Linked DNA regions of Struthio camelus. The protein of the gene in region 3 purifies or fractionates together with the protein of the main gene of each other region. This does not show direct contact. Links are inferred from orthologs where the notes say so. Each region holds a gene or a part of one and is shown on either strand. Other genes may lie near its edges.

Evidence for each region.
Region 1: the proteins of FBXO10 (region 3) and PDE6D purify together in Homo sapiens (affinity purification with mass spectrometry; 3 studies listed by BioGRID and IntAct, with this or other methods). This does not show direct contact. The link is inferred for Struthio camelus from reciprocal best matches to the Homo sapiens genes FBXO10 and PDE6D.
Region 2: the proteins of FBXO10 (region 3) and ACSL4 purify together in Homo sapiens (affinity purification with western blotting; 3 studies listed by BioGRID, with this or other methods). This does not show direct contact. The link is inferred for Struthio camelus from reciprocal best matches to the Homo sapiens genes FBXO10 and ACSL4.

Annotation. Positions count from the first base shown.
Region 1 is NC_090950.1:21,896,411-21,904,452, forward strand, and holds the start of PDE6D (retinal rod rhodopsin-sensitive cGMP 3',5'-cyclic phosphodiesterase subunit delta), read right to left. Parts: upstream 3,055-8,042; 5' UTR 3,041-3,054; coding exon 2,896-3,040; intron 1-2,895. Other genes in the region: COPS7B (COP9 signalosome complex subunit 7b), read left to right, coding at 7,971-8,027. UniProt on the Homo sapiens protein: Promotes the release of prenylated target proteins from cellular membranes. Modulates the activity of prenylated or palmitoylated Ras family members by regulating their subcellular location.
Region 2 is NC_090952.1:8,895,816-8,903,658, reverse strand, and holds the start of ACSL4 (long-chain-fatty-acid--CoA ligase 4), read right to left. Parts: upstream 3,062-7,843; 5' UTR 2,896-3,061; intron 1-2,895. UniProt on the Homo sapiens protein: Catalyzes the conversion of long-chain fatty acids to their active form acyl-CoA for both synthesis of cellular lipids, and degradation via beta-oxidation. Preferentially activates arachidonate and eicosapentaenoate as substrates.
Region 3 is NC_090982.1:2,321,292-2,328,750, forward strand, and holds the start of FBXO10 (F-box only protein 10), read right to left. Parts: upstream 3,068-7,459; 5' UTR 2,925-3,067; intron 245-2,924; exon of another isoform or gene 1-244. UniProt on the Homo sapiens protein: Substrate-recognition component of the SCF (SKP1-CUL1-F-box protein)-type E3 ubiquitin ligase complex. Mediates the ubiquitination and degradation of BCL2, an antiapoptotic protein, thereby playing a role in apoptosis by controlling the stability of BCL2.

The DNA.
Region 1 (8,042 bases), on a different chromosome or scaffold from region 3:
CAGGTGAGATAAATGACAAATTCTTTGTGCCAGGCATAGTTTGTTGTTTTTCAGAAATGAAAAACATGAGTGGGGAGCACAAACTCACTTGCTGTTTTCTAGAGGTTTTTCTTGAATTGTATTGGTGCAAGCTAGTTAAGTTAACACAGCTTTGGCTCTCTACAGAGTACATTTCCCACCTTCTAAGGAGCCCTGATCCCTCTATTAGCTGGCTAGTGCCTCCTTTTAACCAATGAAACCAGTGATTCATCATTATTTAACTGCAGGAAGTCTTAAACCAAGATCTGAGGACAAGTGCACAGAAAACCTCAGAACAAAGTGTTTTAAAGGGCAATTAAAGCTGCCAACTTGCCTTGCAAATAAGGCAATAAATGAGCATTTTTACTTAAGCAGTTAAAGATCTACTGACCTAATAAAAATAGGCTGGAGACTCAACTTGACAGAACTTTTGGATTTGACAACTGAATGCTACAAGAAGCAGCCCAAAACTTTGGGGACTGTTCTAGGAACTGATAGGCAAGACTTCCATTGGCTAGTTTTTTTTTGTGTGTATATGGCAGAGGCAGGGTAGAAGCTGTGGAAGGAGAACTCTCATTGTTTGCAAAGCAATATAAGGTTCAAGGAAGCTGTTCATGGTTTCTGATATAGCTAACCCTTACTACAGCTCTTGGGAGGATGGACAGAGCTTAACAGGTTATTGTACTAGATTCACTTCCTAGACAGAAATAATGGCAAGAGAATTGGAGGAAGCACTGGGAGACAGGAGGATGTCATACAGGCAACTTCAGGGATTTTTCAGAAGTAGGAAACCCTTTGACATGTATGAAAAGCTCTGCCTACAAATGCTGCAGAGTGTATGAGCTACAGCTATGGGCTTATACTGACGACAAATATTAGTTTCACAACTCCATCACAATTCTCACCTGAATGCTGTCTCTTTGTGCTTAAGTTCAGCATATCAATTTGTTTTTAGGAGACTTCTGAATGAGTACAGTAGGATAGGCTGTATAGCCTCAAATAGAAATTCGCACACAACTTTACTCTGAACTAATAAATGTCTATACAGCAACTAACTCTGAGGTCCAGTTCTGATGAGGCTTTTCTGTACAGAAGCCAGTACAATAGCTGATACTTGGAATTTTAAGATTTAGAACTGAAAACTGGATATGCTTACTCATGTCTTGGAAGGTTAGGCTTAGCACCTTAACTATACTATGAAACTTGGGGAGCTTTTTAGCTCTTGGCTTGTTCAGGGTTTTCTTATTGTTCTGGCAGAAACATTACTGGAAGAACATAACCAGAACTGTGGTCCCTCAAGAGCTGGATGTGAATGGGCTGTTGCAGCCCATGGTCAGATATTTCTAATCTACACCATGGATACTTTAAGAAAGCAAAGCACATATGCTTTCCAAATGCTGGCAAACTGGGTTAAATAGAACAGTTGCCTACAATGTCCTTATACTAGTGAACACAGCACAATAAACAGTTTTCTGCTACTTTATATTTGAACAAAGCTATAAAGGCAACCCACAAATTACCAAGGGAGTTAAAACAAAAAAAAAGCCATTGAAAAGTAACTCTTCAATGCCAGGTTTTGACTGTTATGGGGAAACACTTTCAGTGCTATTCCTCTATGAAAAAGGATGTTAAACATACATTTAATGGTACACAGTAATTGTAAAGATAAAATGGCAGAATGAAACCTGAAGAATATGTTGAAAAGATAAGCGTGGGCCAAATAACATTCTAGTCTTTAGTTTGACAGAGTAACTGTCTCATCTTCTGGAAACAAGCATAGTCAAACCTCCTGCATTTGAGACTGCAGACCAATTGTGCATTAAATACTTGCAGAAATGAAAACTCACCCAATATTCCAGAGGAGGATGCTTTAAGTTACCATGTGAACTGACAGTGCCTATAGTCAACCAACTAGTTTGCGTTCACATAACACAAGGCTACCTGTAGATATTAATGGTTTTTTTCCCCCCAAGTATAAGCACTGCTGCTCAGAAGAGTGCCTTCAAAACGGGAAATTCATGAACGTGCTGTAAGTTTTGTTAACAAATGCAGTCTTCAAGAAATGACAAGCTATAAAAGTTGCTGACTAGTGGCTTTTCATCTTTTAAACTTACAAATTGAACAGACAGCGTGCTAACTGGTGCCCTAAAAATTCTTAGGACAAGTATAATATCCTCATTGGCCTGCAAACTTCAAATACTTCTAGTTTTCATCTTTTCAGGAAATAGCAAAATCTGAGAAAAGGGAGTAAATGTTCCTGGTTTGAATTTGAGGACACTAGCCACAACATGTTTCTGCACTAGTGTCATAGAGGAAGGAAAGAATATCTGTGTACTGAAGCCAGAGAGTGGATCAGGGCTACGAACTAATTTCCACAGCAGTGTGTCTCAATCAGTTGGAAAGTTTGTATTCAGCCTCTTCTGGGGAACCAGAACTACAAACTGAACTTGCTTGAGGCAAACTTTAACAACTCAATGTGAGCTGAATTTCCAGGTGAAGTGCTTGTTCTGTGTTAAAGTAAGCAAGCAATTCAGAGATCTACTTCCTCAATGATACCACCTACCCTATCAATTGATCTAACTACACAAGGCATCTAGTATGTCCATACCCTCGGTACCACTGTGCTAGTTTCTTGTGCTAAAGCAAGCACAGCTTCAGGTGCCAAGTTTGCAGGGTTTGCTTAAGTTGGAGTTAACTCCTCCTTCCTGGGACAGGAGGAGGAAGTTTAAGTACTCCAAAGATAAATGTACAGCTTTTCAGGATGTGTTCATCTCTTCTGTTCTATTAAGGAAATTAAAATAGCAGATATAGCAGTAGACTGGGCAGAAAAATATTACATTTATTTAAAATGTAATGTTCTTTAGAACATATACTCACCCATAGAAAAGGAAATAGAAGTCTGAGCTGATGGCTGTCTTACAGTGAGCACGGTCAGATCTGGGCATGAGTAGTTTCCTGTGTGGACGGTGCAGCGTCTCAAGGCTTTTTCTCTTACAAATGAGGAATGTCTGTCCAGCCGCATTTACTTCTGGTTTACTAAATACACACTGAGACTGTTTTTTGACTGTTTTTACTTATGCAAAGTTCCAATTATAAATTTTTTTTGAGAAAAAGCTTTCTTGCTCCTTGGACTTAAAGGTTTTATGCTGTCTGGACTATATGGCAGACAGTAAGCTGAGCTATCATAATACTCTAGCATGTTCTCAGAGAGGCATGGTCAAGTCTTTTACTGCCTAAAAATGTCCTGTCATTTGGTTGTCACAGGTAATACTATCGATTTCAGTGACCATGTAAGGGAAGAGTGAACTTGAGGTTCTTCAACCTGGAAGTGCAGAGTACTTCTACTAAATGTTTTTGCCTACACTATAGCTGCTTGAGATAACGGAAGTTTACCTTCTGTTACACACCTCTCAAGGTGAAAAAAACATTCTGTATTTAAGCCAACAAACTACTAAATGAGTTATTTCATCCAAAGCTGGACAAATGTCCTCATAAATTTTTCTCTCCAGTGAAGACCATATACAAATGCACATGAAAAGTAGTTAAAAGTTTGTTCCCTAAGGTTAACTTTCCAAACACTTTTCGTTTCTACCAACATGTTAGCCTGGTCTTGTCAGAAGCTTATGCTTTTGCTAATTGCCTGTACATAAGGCTGTTCAACTATTTTTGACTAGGTATTACAACTTCATGAATAAAAAGAATTGTCAACATTGTTACTTTAGAAGCAAAGCAACCAGCTGCACTACTAAAAGGTTGGGGGAGGGGACAGTGATTCAAAAGTTGAGAAGCATCTGCTTATAGTTCAATAGTAGCTATTTGGCTAAATCCAACCTAGAGCATCTCGGATCCTGCTACAGATGGCATACAGATCGCAAACATATTACTGACAAAAAGCTGTTCAGAAATAACAGTATTAGATCAAGAGGGAACTTCTATCCTTTTTCAGTATTTAAAAAAAAAAAAGTGATTTCACCCTGTGTCTTAAGGTCAAGCTGGGAAGCTTGCATCTGTCTTCTAAACTTAGAACCTGCTATAATAAAATGAAGTTACTTCATTTTATAAGTAGGGCATATTTCTCCCACTCTTGGTTTGCATATGGGCCTTTGGATTGAGCCTTCCTGTACTGAAATTGTGGGTTGGAAGGGTGTGTACAGGGTCTCATTTTTCTTCCTAGCTCAGATCTGTCTCATTTGCTCAGGATTGTATCTGTATTCACATAATACACTCAGATGTAAAACAGAGAAGCTTTTTGAGAGCTACAGTGCTAAAGCTGCAGAATGAATTGCACAGAAAGGCATTAGCACCTATAATATGTTAGCATCAGCAACAAAAGACACCTTACAACCAACAAAACACGTGCCAGTACCTCACAGCAAGAAAAGGACCGAGACACTTTGCTGCTGCTGCTGCACTTGGAGAGCAGATATTTCCTTCGGCGCAGAGGTGCCTAAGCAGCTGCGGCTCTCGAGGGGCGCGCCAGGAGGACGGCCGAAGGGGAGGGAGCGGATCCTCCCGGGACGGAGCGCGCCGGGCTCCCGGCTCCTCACCTGCCCTCTGCGAGCTCGGGGGGCTCCCGCTGCTCCGGCGCCGCCCGTCAGCAGCCGCCCGGTGGACAGCTCCGGCCTCCTGACCGGGATCCCCCCGCCAGACCGGTCCCGAAGAGGGGGGGGGAGCCCAGCCAGGACCCCGCGGTGGGGCTGAGGGTGCCCCCAGCCCTCCCCATTGGGCGTAGCCTGCTCCCGGGAGGAGGGGACCCCCCCGCCCTTCCCCGCTCCCGGGGGGGGGGGGGGCCGCGAGGGAGGGGAGGACGACACTGGGAACAGCCTAGCCGGCGGGGGGGGGAGGTGGTGGCGGTCTCCATGACAACCGCTCGCCCCCGCCCTCGGAGACGGCGATCCCCGCACTGGCCACCCTCCCTCCCCCCCCCCCCCCCAATCCCGGCCGGGGCAGATTGGGCCCGCCCGCCCGCCCCGCGGCCCCCGTCGGGCGGATACAGCTTGAAGCCCCTGAGGATCTCCTTGGCCCGCTCGTCCGTGGCCGACATGGTCCTGCCGCGCCGCGCCGCGGGCGGACGGGGCTGCGCCGGGCTCGCCTGGCTCCGCGGGCCTGGGCGGGAAGGCGGCGGTGACAGCGGCGCCTCAGGACCCCCCCCACCCCTCCCCCCCCGCACTCCCTCGCACCCGCCACTGGCCAGCGCAACCAACCCCAGCGGCCTGGCGCCGCCCCACCCCCCCGGCTCCCAGCCGCCGCCAATGAGCAGGGAGCGGCGCGCCGGCGCCCCGCCTACTGGAGGGGAAGGACGGCGCGGATGACCAATCAGACGGCGTGCCCGCTTTGCCTCCGCCTCTCCGCCCCGCCTCCCACCATTCAAGGGCGGCTGCGCAGCGGTCGTTAAGGCGTACGCCCCTGCCAAGCCTGACGTCGCCGGGGGACGGGAGTCGCCGCAGGACAAACCTTTTCCAGCCGGCTCCGCTCCGCAGCTGCTAGCGGCGGCCGCCGGGGGGCGCCAAACGGCGGCGGCGGCGGGCGGGGCGCCCTCTGGCGGCGGCGGGCCGCGCCCCTGCCGGCGGGGCCGGCCCGTGTCCCGGGCTCGCAGGCGGGGCTCAGGGGCCTGCTCGCCCAGCGGCGCCCCGCTCCGTCGCGCCGGCGGAGGGGCAGGAGGGGCATGCGCTGGGGGCAGGCCGCAGCGGGCGGTGAGGCGGGCGGGGGCGTCTGCCCTTCGCCCAAAGAGGGATGGTGGGCTCGAAGGCGAGAGCAACCGTCCCAGGGCTGGAAAATCCCTGTGGGAACGCGGGTCCGGCTGCTAGGGAAGCCGTGACCTGTCCCATAGCTAAGGACAAAGCAGCAGGGAGTGGGGCTGGAAGGGATGGGGCTCAACACTAACAGAAAGCCGTCTCTGATTTTGTTGAACGTCCGGTTAGGCTGCAGAGGCTGCTGTGTGTTTGAAAACTCAGGGACTGAGCGTTCCTCAGTCCGTAGGCTTTTTGAGGAAGAGTGAGGTCCAGACAAAGAGCTTTGGAAGAGAGAGAAGTTGTCCTGCTTGAGAAGAAACTCGATCCAAGTATACCCCTTTCACCTAGGGGCTGCCAGGGCCTCAGCTTGGAGAACACTGTGTCCTGTTTCTGTTTCTGTACTGGAAGAGGCCTCAGCCTCGTGTTTTGGCAGAGGGTCGCACACCTGCACAGCCATTCGTGTTAGCGTTCACGCGATGCGGCTCCTCACAGTTCGGGCCTTGCCTGGGAGACGTACGCTGGCAATAGTGCAAATACTGCTGGGACTACGCCCGAGCTAATCGAGCTCTGTTAGCGTTTCTCTTCGTAAGACGGGTAGATCTTGCAGCAAGTTCGTCCCTCAAATTGTTTGACAGAAGTTAAATTGAGCTCAAGTGAAGGATTAAGTTTGTAGTTTTGCAGGCTTCACTGTTCGCATTATGTTGCTGTTCTCGCTGCCTCTGTTCTTATATGCAGAGTAACTACTCTTCTGCATGTACCAAGGCTGGAGCTAAAAGGACCAGCATTATGGGGAAAGTTTGAAATGAATAGTTATGTTTCTCTGGAACAAAAGTGGCCTTCTTTGTACTACAGAAATTTGGCCTTTGTGTAATAAAGTAGATTCTAGGGGAAAGTCTCTGGCTAATCAGCGCATCCTAGGAGCCAGGCTATTCTTTAATATGAGCACGACAAATTAACTCCTCCGTTAACAGTCCAAGCACAGCTAATACAAAGCATTAATAAGCCCTGAGGAAAATAAACGCAGCAGTTGTAATCTGGTCCTCCTCAAAGTACCTCAGAACAGTACCAGCTAATAATCACTGTGCCATCAATATTTTCATGGCTCTGCTTGCCTCAAAATCAGCCACTGTACAAATGAGGAGAACATGAACATTCATAAAGGTCACAATTAATGCATTAAAGACAAGGCCACTTCCAGTATAACCAGTAAGTGATCTTAATAATAAAAATAGGTAGCATTTATTTCCCTGATGTATGTGATCCGTGTTCAGTTCCACACCATCAGTTTAAAAGTGTATGAACAGATCATTTTGAATCTGGGCAGCAAGCCAGGGGCACACTATGCTAATATATATCTATCTTTTATTAAGAGTCCTTCCTGGCTTTGAGATAACGTGCAATTACACGCCCTATCTAAGGAATGGGGAATAAAGCTCACTGAGGAGACAAGACTGGTAGGCATAAAAGGTGAGCAAGGAAAAAAGCAGAGGTGAAGAAGGCAAAAAGCAAATGGTCGGGTATACGTGAAGAGTCTGTCAGGTGGAAGTAGGACCTGCTGGATTATGGAAGACATAAGGAGCTCAATCCCGCCTCTGTTCAGGCTGCAGAGAGAGGAAAGAGCCACCCAAAAAATGGATGTCACAGCTAGGAGCTCCTGCAGCATTAAAGGTTTCTCTGGCTGTGTAGGGCTTACGTTGAGTTGTCGTGAGATCTCTGTTATATGTAATTAGTAGGGGAGCCTCGAGGGGAGATGAGCACAGGGGCAGGAGACTTTCCAGAATTTAGAGTTGGGGCCTTTGAGTTTTCTGATCAAATCCCAGAGTTCTCAAATTCACCTTGAGGTGAGTCTCTGAGGTGAGGTAGAGGCAGTCTCTGCATCTCTCACATTTGAGCTCCCAAAAGTCACAAAAGAGGTAATGGCTGAAGTGTTGATGTCTTGTGACTGCTCCGGGTATGAGCAACAGTGAAACATGTGACACGATAACTCAGGCAGTGACAGAAACCCTGGGATCTCCCTCCTCTCAACATCCTTTGGCTGCATTAACACAAATAACACCCTTTAGCACATCAGCTTTCTGATCCACTTGCAAGACAGTTGTTCCAAGTCTCAGCATCCCTTTGTACCAACTTTGTGCTGAAAACTTCACCTTTTTTCCTATCTCTGGAGCACGTGGAGTTGGCAGGTGTCACAGTTTCTGAGCTGTCATTGCAGACAAGAAGATGCCTCCAGCCTGCTTTCTGCTTCCCCAGAGGACAAGTCACTGCTGTTCTCCCAAGGTACAGTTAAATGAA
Region 2 (7,843 bases), on a different chromosome or scaffold from region 3:
GTCCACTGTAAAGCATAGTTCTATTAGCAGAAGAGAAATACTAAGTTTCCCCTTTAGGCCCTTCCAGGCTGCTTGCCTACTCCATGAAGCACCTTCCACACGGAAAGGTGACAGAGGGCAATGCCAGCTACAGGAAGAAGAGGAGGTAAGGTAACGCTGAAACAACAACAAAGAGCCACTCTCTAGCTGCTGTCGAACACAGGAAAAATAAATAGCGTGGCCAACTTTGAGATGCATCTTTGACAAAAAGGATGTTACTTGGAAGACGCTGTCCCATCTAAATAACAAGCTAGTATATGAACAAAGGGTACAAAAATGTAAGTTTTTTGTCCCAGGAAACTACTTCCCTCTTTCAATCAAAATTCCTTTTCCCTTGAGAGAATAAATGCCCTGAAGAACAGGGACCATGCGGTTAGTTGTGTATACAATGAATATTTCCCTTAATAATTAACTCAATCTCTTTTTCATTTCAGTAATTTATTAAAAACATTTTTCTTAGGGATAAGCACTCGATCACTTGTCATCTTAACTACCTGACCCCATTTATTAATGAATACCTTTAAAATTAATAGAATTTACATGTTTATATCTTTGGCTCACGCTCAGACTACTCATTGGGGTCTTAACTTTATTTAAAACAGCATAACAGGGTCCATCTATTTTACTAGACACATATCTTAATATTGCTTGAAATACATTTGTATCTACTACTGCCTTGCTTAGCAACTTGTTCAAGTGTTATTTTTCTAGTTTTATAAAAGAGCTGAAGCATAAACCTGTTGTTAGAAGGAGGTCATCCACAGAACACTGGTAATTATGATGCTGGAAATTTATAGCTACTGATAAATGTTAGATTATTCAGTCATCAAACAATGGGCGATACTGTCACTTGCTAGCACGCTATATATTACAGATAGTGTTAAAGATAATACATGAGTAATGTTTGCATGAGATGCAAATACCTGAACAATTAACATATCATGAAAGCCTTACCACAGAGTTTTTAATTTGTTTTTTGTATTCTCTGTTCTAAGTTTATATAAGCTAAGTTTAAGACAGCAACGAAGGGAAATTGGCAGGCAAAAAGACATGAGGGATAAGTTTAAAAAAATACTAATATAACCTTTTTGTGGAGATAATTAAGACTTCTGTAGAACTGTATTCAACTCAAACTTTGCAACTTTAAATAAATAGAATAAATAAAGAGAAGAAAAAAATAAAACCAAACAATTTGTCTGAAACTGGTGGAACATTGTTATTTGTACCTTTTGCTTGGTAGAAAATATAATTTAAACAAATCCCCAAAGCCAATAAGATTTTCACATATTAGGAAAAAATAATCTGTGCTTTCTAATCATTGGGATTTCTGATCCCTGACCAACTGTGAAGACTGAAAAAGTCAAAGTCAATTAAAACAATAAAAAAATATATTGTTTCTAATTACTATTTGTAGCTTTACTGGCAAAGCCATAAATGCACATACGTCTACAGTATTAAGTGACAAAGAACTTTGCATTAATATTTTTATGTTACAACAGACCAAGATGAACAGAACAAAAAAAGTAAGGACGGGTATTATTTTGAATCTGATAATCACGTTTTGCAAGCATCATGGACTAGAGAAATTCAGTTTATCTGCAACAATTCTCAATTTACATCAAATCTCTCTGTACTCTCAGCCTATATTTATTATCTTCACTAAAAAAATCAAATTTGAAACAATTATATTAGATAAAAGGGTTATAAAAAATAGTTACAAAATAGCTCACAAGTTGCTATAACTATTTCATTAAAGCAACAAGAGGGATAAAAGATAATTGGGGCTTTATTTAGTTGCCTGATGTTGGCTTATTTAGTGCTGACACTCTTCCGGGGGCAGGGGAGGGCATGAAGCACACATGCACTTTCTTTTTAAATCAGCTTAAAATATCTGCAAAGCATACAGATATTTTAGGATATTGCAAAGTGAAACTTATCTCAGAGGAATCAAACAACAAAAATAACCAACCGCTTTCTTGCATAGGAGCAGATGCTCCTATGACGTGAAACAGAAAAAATAAGCATTGTGCGTAGCGTTGAGCAATGAATCACGTTTTCCTGGGTTTCTGCGTGTGCTCGCTACATCAGCATCAGACCATACCCTGAGCCCGGCCTCCTCTTTTGCATCTAGAAACGCAAAGGTGGGAGGGGGCTATGGGGGAAGAGATAACGCTGTTGATTGTATCGGGCAGGGTTCACAAAACCCGTCTGGTTCCCAGGAAGGGAGATGAGCAAAAAAAAAAAAAAAGGGGGGGGGGGATGATGCTACTGCAAAGCAAGAAACAGGGCGAGCAGCCTCTTCTGCCATCAGGTAGCTGGGCCGCTAAGAGCCAAGCGGCAGAGGATGCTGCTGCTGGCCGGGCGCGCTGACAGGCAGGAGGAGAGCGGGGAAGCCCGGGGCAGCCAGCAGCGCTGCCCCGCAGAGCCTGCGGGCCGCGGCCACCTCACCGCGGAGGGAAAGTCACAGAAGGACGCGGCAGCGTCCAGCAGGGAGCAGGGAGGGTGCCCCCCCAGCAAGGAGCGGATGCGCCGAGCGCAGAAAACGCGCAGCGGCGGCAGATGCACCCTGAGGAGCTCTGCCCTTGGGAGCCAGCCTTCCCAGGACCCCCGCCACCTGCCGCGGCCGGCCCGCCCGCGCCTCCAGCGAGCCGGCCACCAGCCTGACCCCGTTTAACCCCCCTCCTCCCCTCAGCTGACCCGGCTGCCTCCGCCCAGGCACCCGGGGGCCGCGGTCCCAGCCCCGGCGGGGAGCGCCATCCGCCCGCCGGCGCAGCGCGACAACCGCCCCAAGGCCCGCCCGTCCGCGGCCGTTACGCGGGGCAGCGGGCGGGCGGGCGAGCGCGCGCGCGCACTCACCGCCCTTCGGCTCGGCTCGGCTCGGCTCGGCTCGGCTCGGCTCGGCGCGGGCGGCGCAGAAGGCGGCCCGCGGCGGCCCCGGCTGCTAAAATGGCTGAGAGCGCGCGGGGAGGAGGGCGGAGGGCCGGGGGGAAGCGCGAGGGGCGGAGCGAGCCCCCGCGCCGCCGTCCGGCCCCCGCCCGCCCCGCTGGCGCGCAGCCGCGGCCGGTGGGCCGCCCCCCGAGCGCCTGTCCGGGGCCGGCTTTAGTCCCCTCGGCTGCCGAGGTGCTTAGCGCGGTCGGGGGCGCACGTGTCCAGGTGTCCTCTTCCTCCGGAGGGTCTGCATCCTGACGGGGCAGAGAGACGTTACGGGGAAACCTGGCTGCAGACATGGTTCAGGCAGATACCGGTCTATTATTACACGATTAATGTTAGTAGTTTTTCCACAAAGGCCGCGGGACCGTCAGAACTAGGGGCGCAAGGGAAAAACACTTCAAGGAGTAGCCCCCGGCCTCCTTAACCTCACGACGGCCTCCACGCTTTTGTTAGCAGGGTTGAACCAGAAGAAGGAACACCATTTGTCCAGACCTTTCCGGCTGGACTAGACGAGCACACGGGGTTTGCTATCCAGATATCCTCTCGGACAATTTGGAGACCATCAAGTTGCATCTAAGGCCCCCGTGGTCTTTTCTCAGAACGCAAGAAATGGGTTTCAGCAGCAGCACTGACGAGAGCAGCTTGGATTACTCACAGTGCAGTTCAAAAAGCCAGAGGCCACAAATATCCGTATGATTCATGCAAAAGTTTGCCAGGTGGTTTTACATGTCTTGGAGGCTTCTTCAGAGCAGAGCTCACACAAAATAACTCTAATTCTGGAGAGGGCAAACAGCCCCCTTTTAACAACATGCAAAGGAAAAGAAAGCATTTTCTGCTCTCATCAATGCTGAGCGGAAGTCCAGCACAATCCTCCCCCACGCCATATGGACTGGAGCAGGATGTGAAAAAGCAAGATTACAAACCAAGCTGTAATTATGCTGGGCAACAACTCTTTGTTGCCATAAAAGACAACACCTTGCAGGAGCTAAAATATTCTGGCTACAACAGAATACGCAATGCAGATATTATGCTTAATAGTTCTTACTCTTAGAGAACTAAAAAATGCACCGCTTCCCCAGATGGAGGCTGAACTGAATCACTGTGTGGTTTTTGCTTTGCTCAGGCTACACGAAGTTTAGCGCAGTCCCTTATTGCTCCCACTATGTTCTGATTTGTTTCAAACCTCATTGTTTTGCTCCATGTCAAGTCATCGCTAATGAAAAGGCCTGGATTGTGCAAGATGCCCAAAGGCATGTCTGTTTTATGCAGACTACATATTTTTTGATCCAACCTCTCTGTACTTAGAAAAGGTGAGGCAAACTTTTACTTACTACAGAACTCTTTGTGACTAAAACACAGAAACACTACCCTGTTTTCCAGATCTTCCTGATAAACACTAAAATGTGTAAAAGAATGTATCTGCAACTTGTTCTAACTATTTCATATTTCCTATAGCCTTAAGTTTTAAATTAACTGAGCTTGGATTTACCAATGATGTATCACGTTAGCAGGCAAGAAAGCATGTATTTTGTGCATAAGCTAGCTGGAACACTGGGATGGCATCAGTGGCCAGAGCAATGACCCACTTAGCACAGTATGCTGTTTCCAGTGGTGACTGGTGATGTCTCGGGAAGACTATGAAAACAAGATGTGTACATAACAATACTTTCCTGATACATACTCTCAGCTTTCAGAACTCTGCAGCTCGGAGACTTTTAGCTAGAAGTAGTATATTTCTGTTTACTAGCTCTTCATAGGCACGCATGGAAGAAAAATCCAATTGCTCTCTTAATCCATAAAAGCTTTGGCACCTACAGCCTGATGCAATGAATTCCTTGGTTTTACTCCATGCTGTGTGAAAATCACTTCTCTATGTTTTGAGCTTTCTGACTGTATTTCCATTTGATGTCCCTTATCTTTTGTGTTAATTAACCATGAATTATCATTCTCTCCTCTCTGTCTCCATACCATACTCTGTCTTACAGATGTGTGCCACAGACTCCTTGCACCACAACCTCATTCATCTTCTAGGCTGACAAATCTAGTGTTCCTCAGGTGCAGTTTCATAGCACTTAAAACAAATTCAAGTTGCGGCGGCTTCCATCTCTCTGCTTCAGACTGCATGTTCTTACTCCCACATGGACCTTGTGCTCCAGGTTGTGTGCTCTTGCCTGCAATTCTTCCCTCACCTCTTCCTTCATGCCTTCCCTATAGGAGACCTCACCATGTTACGGGACCTCCGTATTAGCCTCCTCCTGGCCCTGGACAAGCTGGCCATCTGTGCCACTAGGATGAAGCTCAGTGGCGGATCCAAATGACTGTGGGGTTTGTCCATTCATGTCTGCAAGCACAGCCACCTCTGAGCGACATCCAGCGTCAGTGGCTCAATGCCCCTCTCTTAATCCATTTTTGACCTTTTGGTCCTCACATTCCCTCCCTTTTTTTCATTGATTGCCCCTTTAAGCAGGGGATACGTTCTCCATGTTCCTCTTACTCTAACCTTTTTCTCCATGCCTGAAGGGCTTGACAATTTGGTTAGGACTAGATTAGCACCTGCTTTTAAAATAGAAGACAAGAAATCCTTTGTACTCAGCTATGCTTGTCTGACCCTACAGTGAGCTGGTCACTGAGCTAAATCAGGTGAGAACTAACCCCCCAATTTCTCACCCTACTAAGAAAAAAATAAAATAAAAAAGCAACATTTTTGGAGGGCTCAGCTCCCCACAGGATCAGTAAGTGCCAGTACAGTGCAGGTAGAGGCAGGAAAGAATGACCACAGCAGTTCTGCGCCCTGAGTCACTCACCCTGTAGAACCATTCTGAATCTTTGATGATCCCTCTGTTCCTCAAGAACTCTCTTCTAGTTCTTTCTGCGGTGGGAGAACTCAGATGGGCACTGTTTGGATGCTCTAGACTTTCATTTTTCTGCAAAAATATATCATTTTTAAAAACTAAAAACTGTTACTAACATATTCAGTGTTGACAGTTTCTTTTCTAGGACACAAGAATAAATTGTTAAAAAAGAGTTATGCCATCATTAATTGAACCTGTTTTAGAGAAGTAGTTTGAGATAGTACATTGGGTTCCAGTTTTCCCTGCCAAAACTACTTTCTGTTGATTTTTAAATCACTTTTTCCTACTTCTACTAAGGTCTACCCAAACAACAGGGGAAACTAACTAATTAAACAAAGGCAGTACACAGAAGTTCTATCTTATGCATAAAGTTACAAAAAATTAGAATTTTATTTAGATATGAATTATCTCTTTCAGTTATAGATATCTATGTCTTATAAAAAAAATAGTTAAAAGGAGCCTGATTGGTAGGATGACAATGTTCCCCTAAGTGCCCAGCCAAGAACTACACTCTCTGGAATTTTATGTTTTGGAAGAGTGAACAACTAAGTTTGCTTCAGGGAACAAACACATTTTCAGGAAAGCTAGAAAAACAATCTCGTTAATTACAGTCTAAGGAAAAAATACAACCTATCAGTTTGTAGTCACAATAATGAGCCCTAAATTAAGTTTACTAAAAAAGGGTATCCCAATGCAGGGTGCCTTTTTCAATGGAGGTTTTGGAAGCAATACTACCTATGGGAAACATTTCCTGTAGCTACTGGTACGTAGAGGACTAACTGAATTACATAGGATTCACTGAGCGTGGCAGTTCCTCTTTCATTTGTCATAAGAAATAGTTGTGTTTAAACTAGTCATTTGAAAACTTTTAAATGTTCTTCATCTTTATCACAGAAGTTGAAAGGAGTGAGAGAAATGAATGTAGAGGAGAGACAGAGCCAGTCTAGAAGACCTCTATTTTTCACCTATCAGTCAGGGAAAGTTCCAAAATGGTAAAAGTTGCTGACTTCTCCTCACCTTATTCCTGGTTTCAGGAAAGGAATTGCATAATGTCAGCTCTTTAAATATAAGTAATAATCAATATTTGGAGCCTTGTGCATTGTTTATTTCTATCTGGAGCACTGACTGGTAAAATCAAGCATTTCTCTAATGCTATCCTATTTCTTCACAGAGTATACAGTTGGAATCAAAACAACAGAAACCAAATTTTGCACACAAGCTTTCTCTGCCTTTTTGTAGCAAGCACTCTTCACAAAAACTTGTCTTGGTTTTGTCTCAGGTTTACACTAAAAAAAGTCAAAGGAGAATGCACTTTCCATGTTATCTTAATAGATACCTTCTGATAACCCTGAAAACGCTATGAGAAGCACAGCTTCAGAGTGTTAATCCCCAAATAGATGGACATTTTAAGAAAGAAAATAAGCATTGTATAAGTATTATACATAAATAAGTATTTCTGATCTATACCACAGCAAGCCTAAAGAAAGCTCCAGCACTCTGGATTTAATTTTGCTGGTGTAAACAGTTACGTATGTCTTATTAGAAGAAAATACGCAACTGTGTCGTCATCAAAACAGCTGCACATATGTCAAACAATCACTGTACAAAACAAAGTATCTAAAAATGATTTTCTGGACTTTAGAGGAGACCTTGAAGTCATTACAAGGAGGACTGAGTATTTCTCACATAATAAAATATGTTCAGTGCTAAAGTCTGTAAAGAAAGAAAGAAAATAAAATGCTATAAAATTAAATATTTTCTTAAATGTTCATAAGATCCAGTTTAAAGTGCACAGCCACAGTTATCAACAGTCACAACAGGCCAGGCTTACTCTAAAGAACCCATTAGATTAGGATAGATTATAACGAAAAATATGGCTAAATAATTCTGTGTTCTTCAGGTCTATTCCACATTCTTCACATTGCGATCTCTTGAGTCTTATAAATTCCTCCAAGAATATCACAATATTTTAAGCACTATGATGCCCTAATTCAGTATTAAAGCATTCTGGAAATTCATTA
Region 3 (7,459 bases):
CCCATCACCACTCCTCCTCTTCCAAGCTTTCCCTAAAAGCCATGGTCAAGTAAACTGCACTTGATGGAGCTCAGCATGATTTATAAATTGGTGGACTCCCTGTGGCAAAATCAAATTCATCACTGGGGATACTGTGGAAAGACGAATAAATATAACCATGTCACCTGCGAGAGTTAATCGCGGGCGGGGGCGCGCGTCGCTCCTCCGCTTGGCTCGCTGGGGCGGAGGCAAGACGGCAGCTGGGAGCAGGGCGGACAGCAGCGCAGCGAGGAGCAGGTGGCGCCGGGAGCCTGGCCCGCCGCCCCGGCGCACGGCGTGGGCCCGGCGGAGCAAAGGCCGCCCCGCCGCGGCTCCGCGTCCCCGCACCCGCGGATGTGTCCGCCGCCCACCCCGCGCCGCGCGACCTGCTTTACTGGGGCGGCGAGCGGCGCCGCTGGCAGGAGGGAGCCCGGTGTCGGATGTGGCCGCTGGCCGGCTGCCGTCCGCTCCCCCGGTGCAGTTTCTGCGCTGTGTGACAGCTCCTCGCGAATCCAAAGACGCAACTCGCCGGCGCAGAAAGAGCCTGGCTCCAGCAAGGCTCCAGGCCCCGATCAGAGCCCTCAGCCATGGTCTAGCACGTAACACGAGCTGCGTAAGTTTTAACAACAACAACAACAAAATAGTAGCAACATCAGCTCCGCTGCTGGTGCGCAGAGCTCCACCCATTGCCTGCTGGGCTCCGGCTGCCCGCACTTGGGAGAGCTCGGCTGCAGGTTAGCTGATGCCTATGTCAATGCACTCCAGGCAACCATCCAGGACTGGGCATCCACCCTGGAAGCCTCCTCCCGCCTCAGACACACACTGCATGGAGATGAGCACCACAAAAGCAGGGTTAAGCTATTCCTCTTCCTATCGGTGATCCACCCCATGTACATCCTGGTCAGCCCTGAGAATTAGGAGTCAAACGCCATGGGAAGAGGCACTGGACAGTGCTGGAGAATATTCATTTGAGCACCTTTATACACAGCTGCAAAGAGCGTGGATGTTGAGACGTACACAGGGCAGAGAAGTTGTGTTTTCTTTACATCTAAGCATTCACCAAAAGGAGACACACAATCACTATTAAAATGAACAGATTAACTTACTCCTGCTACAAGGGCTGAACACTTGTGTTTTACAACCCCACAATAAACTTGCCTATGCTACAGGTATAAACATGGAAAGCGTTTGGCTGGGAGGGACCTCTGGAGGTCTTCAGTCCAATCCCCTGCTCCAAGTAGGGCTCAACCCTCAGGTTGTGCAAAGCCTTCTTCAGGTGAAAGCTGAGTACTTCCAAGGATGGAGAGCCTCCTAATGCTCCAGGCCTGGTCCCAGAGCTGCACCAGTCTCACGGGGAAGCTTGTTTACCAGGAACTTCTGTTGCTGCACTGTTGCTGCTTCTCCTCTTACAGTGCACATCTGAGAAGAGCGTGACTCTGCCTTCTGTGTAAACCCACTTCAAGTAGTGGAAAACTGCAATTAGATACCACCCCTCCACCTTCTCTTTTCTAGACTGATCAAGTTCAGCTCTCTCAGCCTGTCCTTGTACATCATGAGCTCCGGCATCCTGACCACCTCAGTAACCTCGTAAAGAACTCTCTCCAGCTTGTCAATATCTCTCTCCTACTGGGAGAGCCGGAACTTTTTCAAACTCTCGTTAAGAAAGGATTTCAACATTCTGAGAATCTCTCTTCTTCTGGATGGCTTGTTTTGTCTAAGCCTCACTTCAGGAGGAGTTCCCAGCACTCCCTAATTTATAGTCTACTGACATAAGTGCTGTTTGTTAGCTAACCTTGGCAGCTTTCACCGAAGAGCAGCTGCCCCGGTGAAAGCGTAAGCGGTAGGCTAGAGAGCTGGCTGCAGCAGGGATAAACAAGAGGACACGAGGGCCACCTGAATGGAAACTTCCAGCAAAGATAGATGCATGCCTGGTTGAACCAGAAATTCACAGTGTTAGATGTTGGTACAGGCCTCTAAGACTTGCCCAGAGAGGCTTAAGAAATTATTACAACACAAAGCAAAGATATAAAGTGCTTTTGTACTGTGTTATATATGCGATCATAGCGATCCCCCAACCCTAGAGACACAAGTTTAGCACTACCTCCCTGAAAACAACAGAAAGAGCTTCATCAACCTGAAACCCTTGGCACAGGCTCTTCTGCAGATTATTCTCACAGTATCTGAGCAGCGGTAGTAGCAGAACCCCTGCATTGTAACTATTACAAACTTCCTGAAAAATCCCTGGGAGGGGGACACAAAACCCAAGGCTGGATATAGAGTTGGAGTTGTTTTTTCATCTGAGAACTGGGGTCTGGGAACTCAGTTCCTAGGCAAGCTGGAATTTCTCCAGTTCAACCTAAGGGAATCATGACACTTGCAGCATAGCATCTTTGGTCCTTGCAGCAGCGTGGGACAAGGAACGGATCAGATGTGGTAAGGACAGTGGCATAGGAACAGGGCTGAGCATCAGGCTCTGGAACACCCAGATGTGATAAATCACAGAGGTAGTTCAACAGCCCAGCACTTTTAGACTGCTCTATGATCTGATTTTTCATTTCTAGTTCTGAAATTTTGGATTTTTCCCCCACCAGCATCTTTCCAAAACAACTCTTTTCTGTTTATCTGCTGGGCCTTGGAGACAAACACAGAGCTGCTTTGCTTCCTAACTTAAGCACTGCCCAGCTAAACCTGCTGGCTGGTGGCAACAGCCTGGACAATCAAGAAGTAGGGGTCAAATTCCTAGCCCTGCCACTGGACCTCAAGATGACATCGACCCACAGAGCCTAAGCCTCTCCAAAGAAGGTTAACGATGTGTCCTTTACAAGATGGTTTCAAACCTATTAGTGAAAAACAATGCATTATTCATTAGCTGTTGAGCAGAAGCTCAACACTTCGTACGAATTTACCTTCTGCCTTAATTCAGGTCGAAGATGCACAAAGAGTACGGGAAATCAATCTTCTGCGCAACTTTTCAAAGTATTTGCCGCAGTAAAGCTTCTGCATTGGCCAGCAGCAACAGCACACTAACCGCGTACTTCGCCGCCTGCGCTGCGCTGCGCTGCGCTGCGCCACCCCGCCCCGCCCCGCCCCGCCCCGCGTCCCCACCCGCGTCCCCGACCCGCTCGGCGCCGCGGGCGCGCCCCCGCCCCAACCGCGCCCGCGCCCGGACCGCTCCCTGATTGGCTGAGGGCAGGCACGCTCCGCCAACCGCGCCGTCGTCACGTGAAGTTAACGCCAGCTGGGCTTTTTTCGTCTCCCCTCTTCGGTTGCGTCACCCTGTGCGCGAGCCGGCGGAGTTGCGTCATACGGAGGCGCGTCGGCCCGGTGGAGGCGCGTCGGGCCGGGCCCGGCCGGCCGGCGGCGACTCCCGTCCGCGTGCCGGCCCGCCTTGCCCCCGCAGGCACCATGGCAGCCCGAACAGGTGTGTCACGGAGGAGGGCGGGGTGGGGGGGGCGGCGGCCGGTCGCCTGTCCCTCTCGCCTTGCTCCGCCGCGGCCGTCCCGCCGCCCGCGGCGCGGGGAGCGCCGCCGGCGAGGCAGGTCGCGCGGGTCTGTTGCGCACGCGCGCCGGGCGGCCGGGCGGTGGAGGGGGTGCGAGGCGCAGCCGAAGCGACGGCGGGCGGGCTCGCGGGGCGGCCGCTCCCCGCCGACCCGCTCCCTCGGGAGGGCCTGACCTTGATCGAGCCTGAGCTGCCGGGCGGCTGCGTCGCTCCGTGCGTGGCCGCGGCGCTGCTGGGGCCCCCCGGCAGCGGAGGGCACACGCGCGGGCGCTTTCCGGGAGGGGCAGTCGCTAACCATTTCAGTGAATGCCTTCAGCTGTGTTTTGCCTTGCTTGCTTCAAAATGACCGCTTAAGCGACTGCCCTACTTACTGTTTGCACCTTTATTTTGTTTGTATTCGCTTTGCATTGCCTCACTTCTTACACCAAAACTGTTACAATTGTTATGAGTGTCTTGCCTGTGTCTTCAAAATATCGGTGTCTCTAATGGGCCTTATGTGACAGGTCTTCATGAGCATCTTCAGGAACACTGAGGGTGTCTCCATTATGGTAAACTGAAAACATCAGCCTTTTTCCATGTTTCAAGTGGGTTCGTACTGATGAGACATTACTGTCTGGTGACTCTGGTAATCAGACACGCTTATAGTGGCAGGTAATCAAACTGAATTGAATCAAGCTGTTGAAAAACACAAACAAAACTATAAGCCTTCAACTGGCAGTCTGTTTGGCTTTAGACAAAGCATAAAGGCTAAATATTTAGGGCCAATATTTGCCATACTTGATGGTGAAAGAGTGCAAGTTTGTAATACTGCTCTGACTGAGTGTTCAGTCCTCAAGATAATGTTAAGCAATGAATGGGCTGTGAGGACTTTCTAGGTAGCACATTAACCCCACAGTGGTCAGTAGTTGGCAGTCAAGATTGCAAACTTTGTGATCTCCTACCAGTATTCCAGATGCGAAGGAATACTGGGTACCAGATAACGCTTCCTCTTTATTCTCTCCCTTAAGTTTCTGATCTAGTGGGTCGCGTGTCAGCATTTTGAAGAGCGTGGTCACTTGGCAGGTAAATTGGCTCAAATCATAATTAGAAGGACTAGATGCTATATACCACAAGATGATAAAAGTGGCAGGCACTGGAAAGTATGGACTTTGCGGTAGGGAACATGCTATGAGAAAGAATTGCATGTATCCCCTTTCACAGTGCTCTGAAATTTACCTACGAGGTGAGGGGAGTTCCTGTAAAGAAATTGTATATTGTAACAGCTCCAGAGACTTGTACATATTGGCAATGCTGTCGATCAAAGCTTTTTTTTCTTTTTGAGAACTATTTCCTTTCTAACAAATTTTAACTAGGAAGCGGCTTGTGTACCCTAGTACTTGTAGGTAACAAAGGCCTTATGAAATACGGCTGAAAGAAAATGTTCTGTCATAAATGCCTCTGGGAAAAACTTGCCTGTCTCTTGCACCTTCCCATATTATGAGCATGAGAACTAAGTTAAACTTCTCAAGGGTTAACAAGGTGTCTCTGCAGTTTTAAATGCTCCCTACTTGACAAATCTAGCCGTTCCACCAAAGGGAACATGTAGCTTGTGAAACTAAACTAGGTGTCTCTCTTTGTTTTATTATGACTGTATTTTGAGGAAAAAATGGCATCTGGGCCACAGGCAGCTCTGTCACCAGTGAAACTGTGACTAGTCAAACGCCTTCGCTAACTGTTTTGTTTCTAGTGATACTCTTCCCAGCTGCAGTAGCAAAATTAAGCATATCCCACTCCTCGCCTCCTAGTACAGAAGTGCGTGAGACCAACTTGTCTTCAGATGTGGCTATTTAGTATATGCAAATTGACCTAAGTGGATCAGAAGAATACTGTAAACTCGTGTATATAAAGCAATACAGGCTCTCTAATAGAATTCCTCTCGGTGGCATTACTCTTTGTATCAGGCTAAACACTTCATCTTTGTTAATCATTTATGTGGTGCTTTGCCTTGGCAGACCCTAATAAAAATAGGGAATAAAGAAGGAAGTGCCTATGGGAACACGTTATGGGGAAAGCTCTCATGCCCTTTATTGAAAAGTCAGTGTGCTTGGGTGCCTCTCTGAAGTGCCTGTATACTAATGCATGCAGCGTGGGGAACAAACAGGAGGAGTTAGAAGTCTGTGTGCAATTACAGGGCTGCAATCTCATTGGGATAACGGGACCATGGTGGGATAGCTTACAAGACAGGAACGCTGTGCTGGATGGATACAGGTCCTCTAGGAAGGACTGCTCAGGAAGGCAAGGAGAGGGAGTTCTCTTTTATGTGAGAGAGCAACTGGAATGCACAGAGCTCTGCCTGGGGTCAGCTGAGAGCTTATGGGCCAGCATTAGTGGGCTGACCAACATGGCTGATGCTGTAATGGGTGTCGAGTGTAGATTGCCTAAGCAGGAAAAAGACAATTGTTCTTCAGAGAGTCGGACGAAGCTGTGTGTTCAGAGGGCCGGGTCCTCCTGGACGATGACAGAGATATATATTCTGTCTCTCTCTACGTGTAAAAAGATAGAGACACTATCCAAGCATGTAGGGATGGGGTTAGGAAAGCCAAAGTCCATCTGGAGTGAAACTGGCAGGGGCATAAAGGGCAAGAAAGGCTTCTGTTAAGTACACAAGTAGCAAAAGGGAAGCTAGGGAAAATGTGAGCCTACTGCTGAATGGGGCCTGAGCCCTAGTGAAAACAGACACCAAAAAGGCAGAGGTACTGAGCGCGTTCTTCATCTCAGTCTTTACTGGTAAAAACTGCTTTCAGGAATGCCGAGACCCTGAGATCAAAGAGGAAGTGGGGAGCAATGACAGCTTACCCTTGGTGGAAAAGGATCAGGTTAGGGAATGCTTCAACAAATTGGACAGACAAAAGTTCACTAGTCCTGGCAGGATGCACACACAAGGGTTGAGGAAGCTGGCTGATGTCATTGCAAATCTACGCTTGGTTATCTCTGAAAGGTCATGGTGATCAGGAAATGTTCCTGAGGACTGGAAGATGTCACTCCTGTCTTGAAGAGCAAAAAGAAGGATCCAGGGATCTACAGGCTGCACGGCCTCACCTCAGTCCCTGGGAGGGCAACAGAGCAACTAAACCCTGGGTGCCATTTCCAGACTTACAAAGGACAGGAAGGCTATTGGGAGTAGTCAGCATGGATTCATAAATGGGAAATCATGACTGACCAACCTGATAGCCTTCTATGATGAGATGACTGGCTTGGTGAATGAGGGAGAGAGCAATAGATGTTGTTTTACCTTGATTTTTAGAAAGGCTTTTGACGCTGTCTCCTGTAACATCCTCTTGGCAAGCTGATGAAGTACAGGCTAGTCGAATGGACAGTGATCTGGACTGAAACTGAACTTAACTGCTGGGCTTAGGATTATGCTCAGCAGCACAAAGTCAAGCTGGAGGCCAGTCACCAGTGATGTGCCCCGGGGTTTGATATGGGGCCGGTACTTTTTAGCATCTCCATTAATGGATGATGGGATCAAAAGCAGCCTCAGCGAGTTTGTTAATGACACCAAACTGGGAGGAGTGGCTGACATACCGGATGGTTATCCTCCTGTTCAGAGGTACCTCACAGGCTGGAGACGTGGGTGGGGAGGAACCACATCTTAAGGATAAAGTTCAACCAGGTGAAGTGCAAAGCCCTGCACCTGAGCAGGCATAAGCCCATGCACCAGTACAGGCTGGGGGCTGACCTGCTGGAAAGCAGCTTGGCAGAAAAGGTGGTGGATAAGTTGAACGCAAGCCAGCAATGGGCCCTCATGGTAAAGAAGGCCAACGGTATCCTCGGCTGCGTGAGGCAGAGTGTTGCCAGCAGGTCGAGGGAGGTGATCCTTCCCCTCTATTCCACCCTGGTGAGGCCATATCTGGAGTGCTGTGTCCATGATGGGCTCCCCAGTGCAAGACAGACATGGACCTG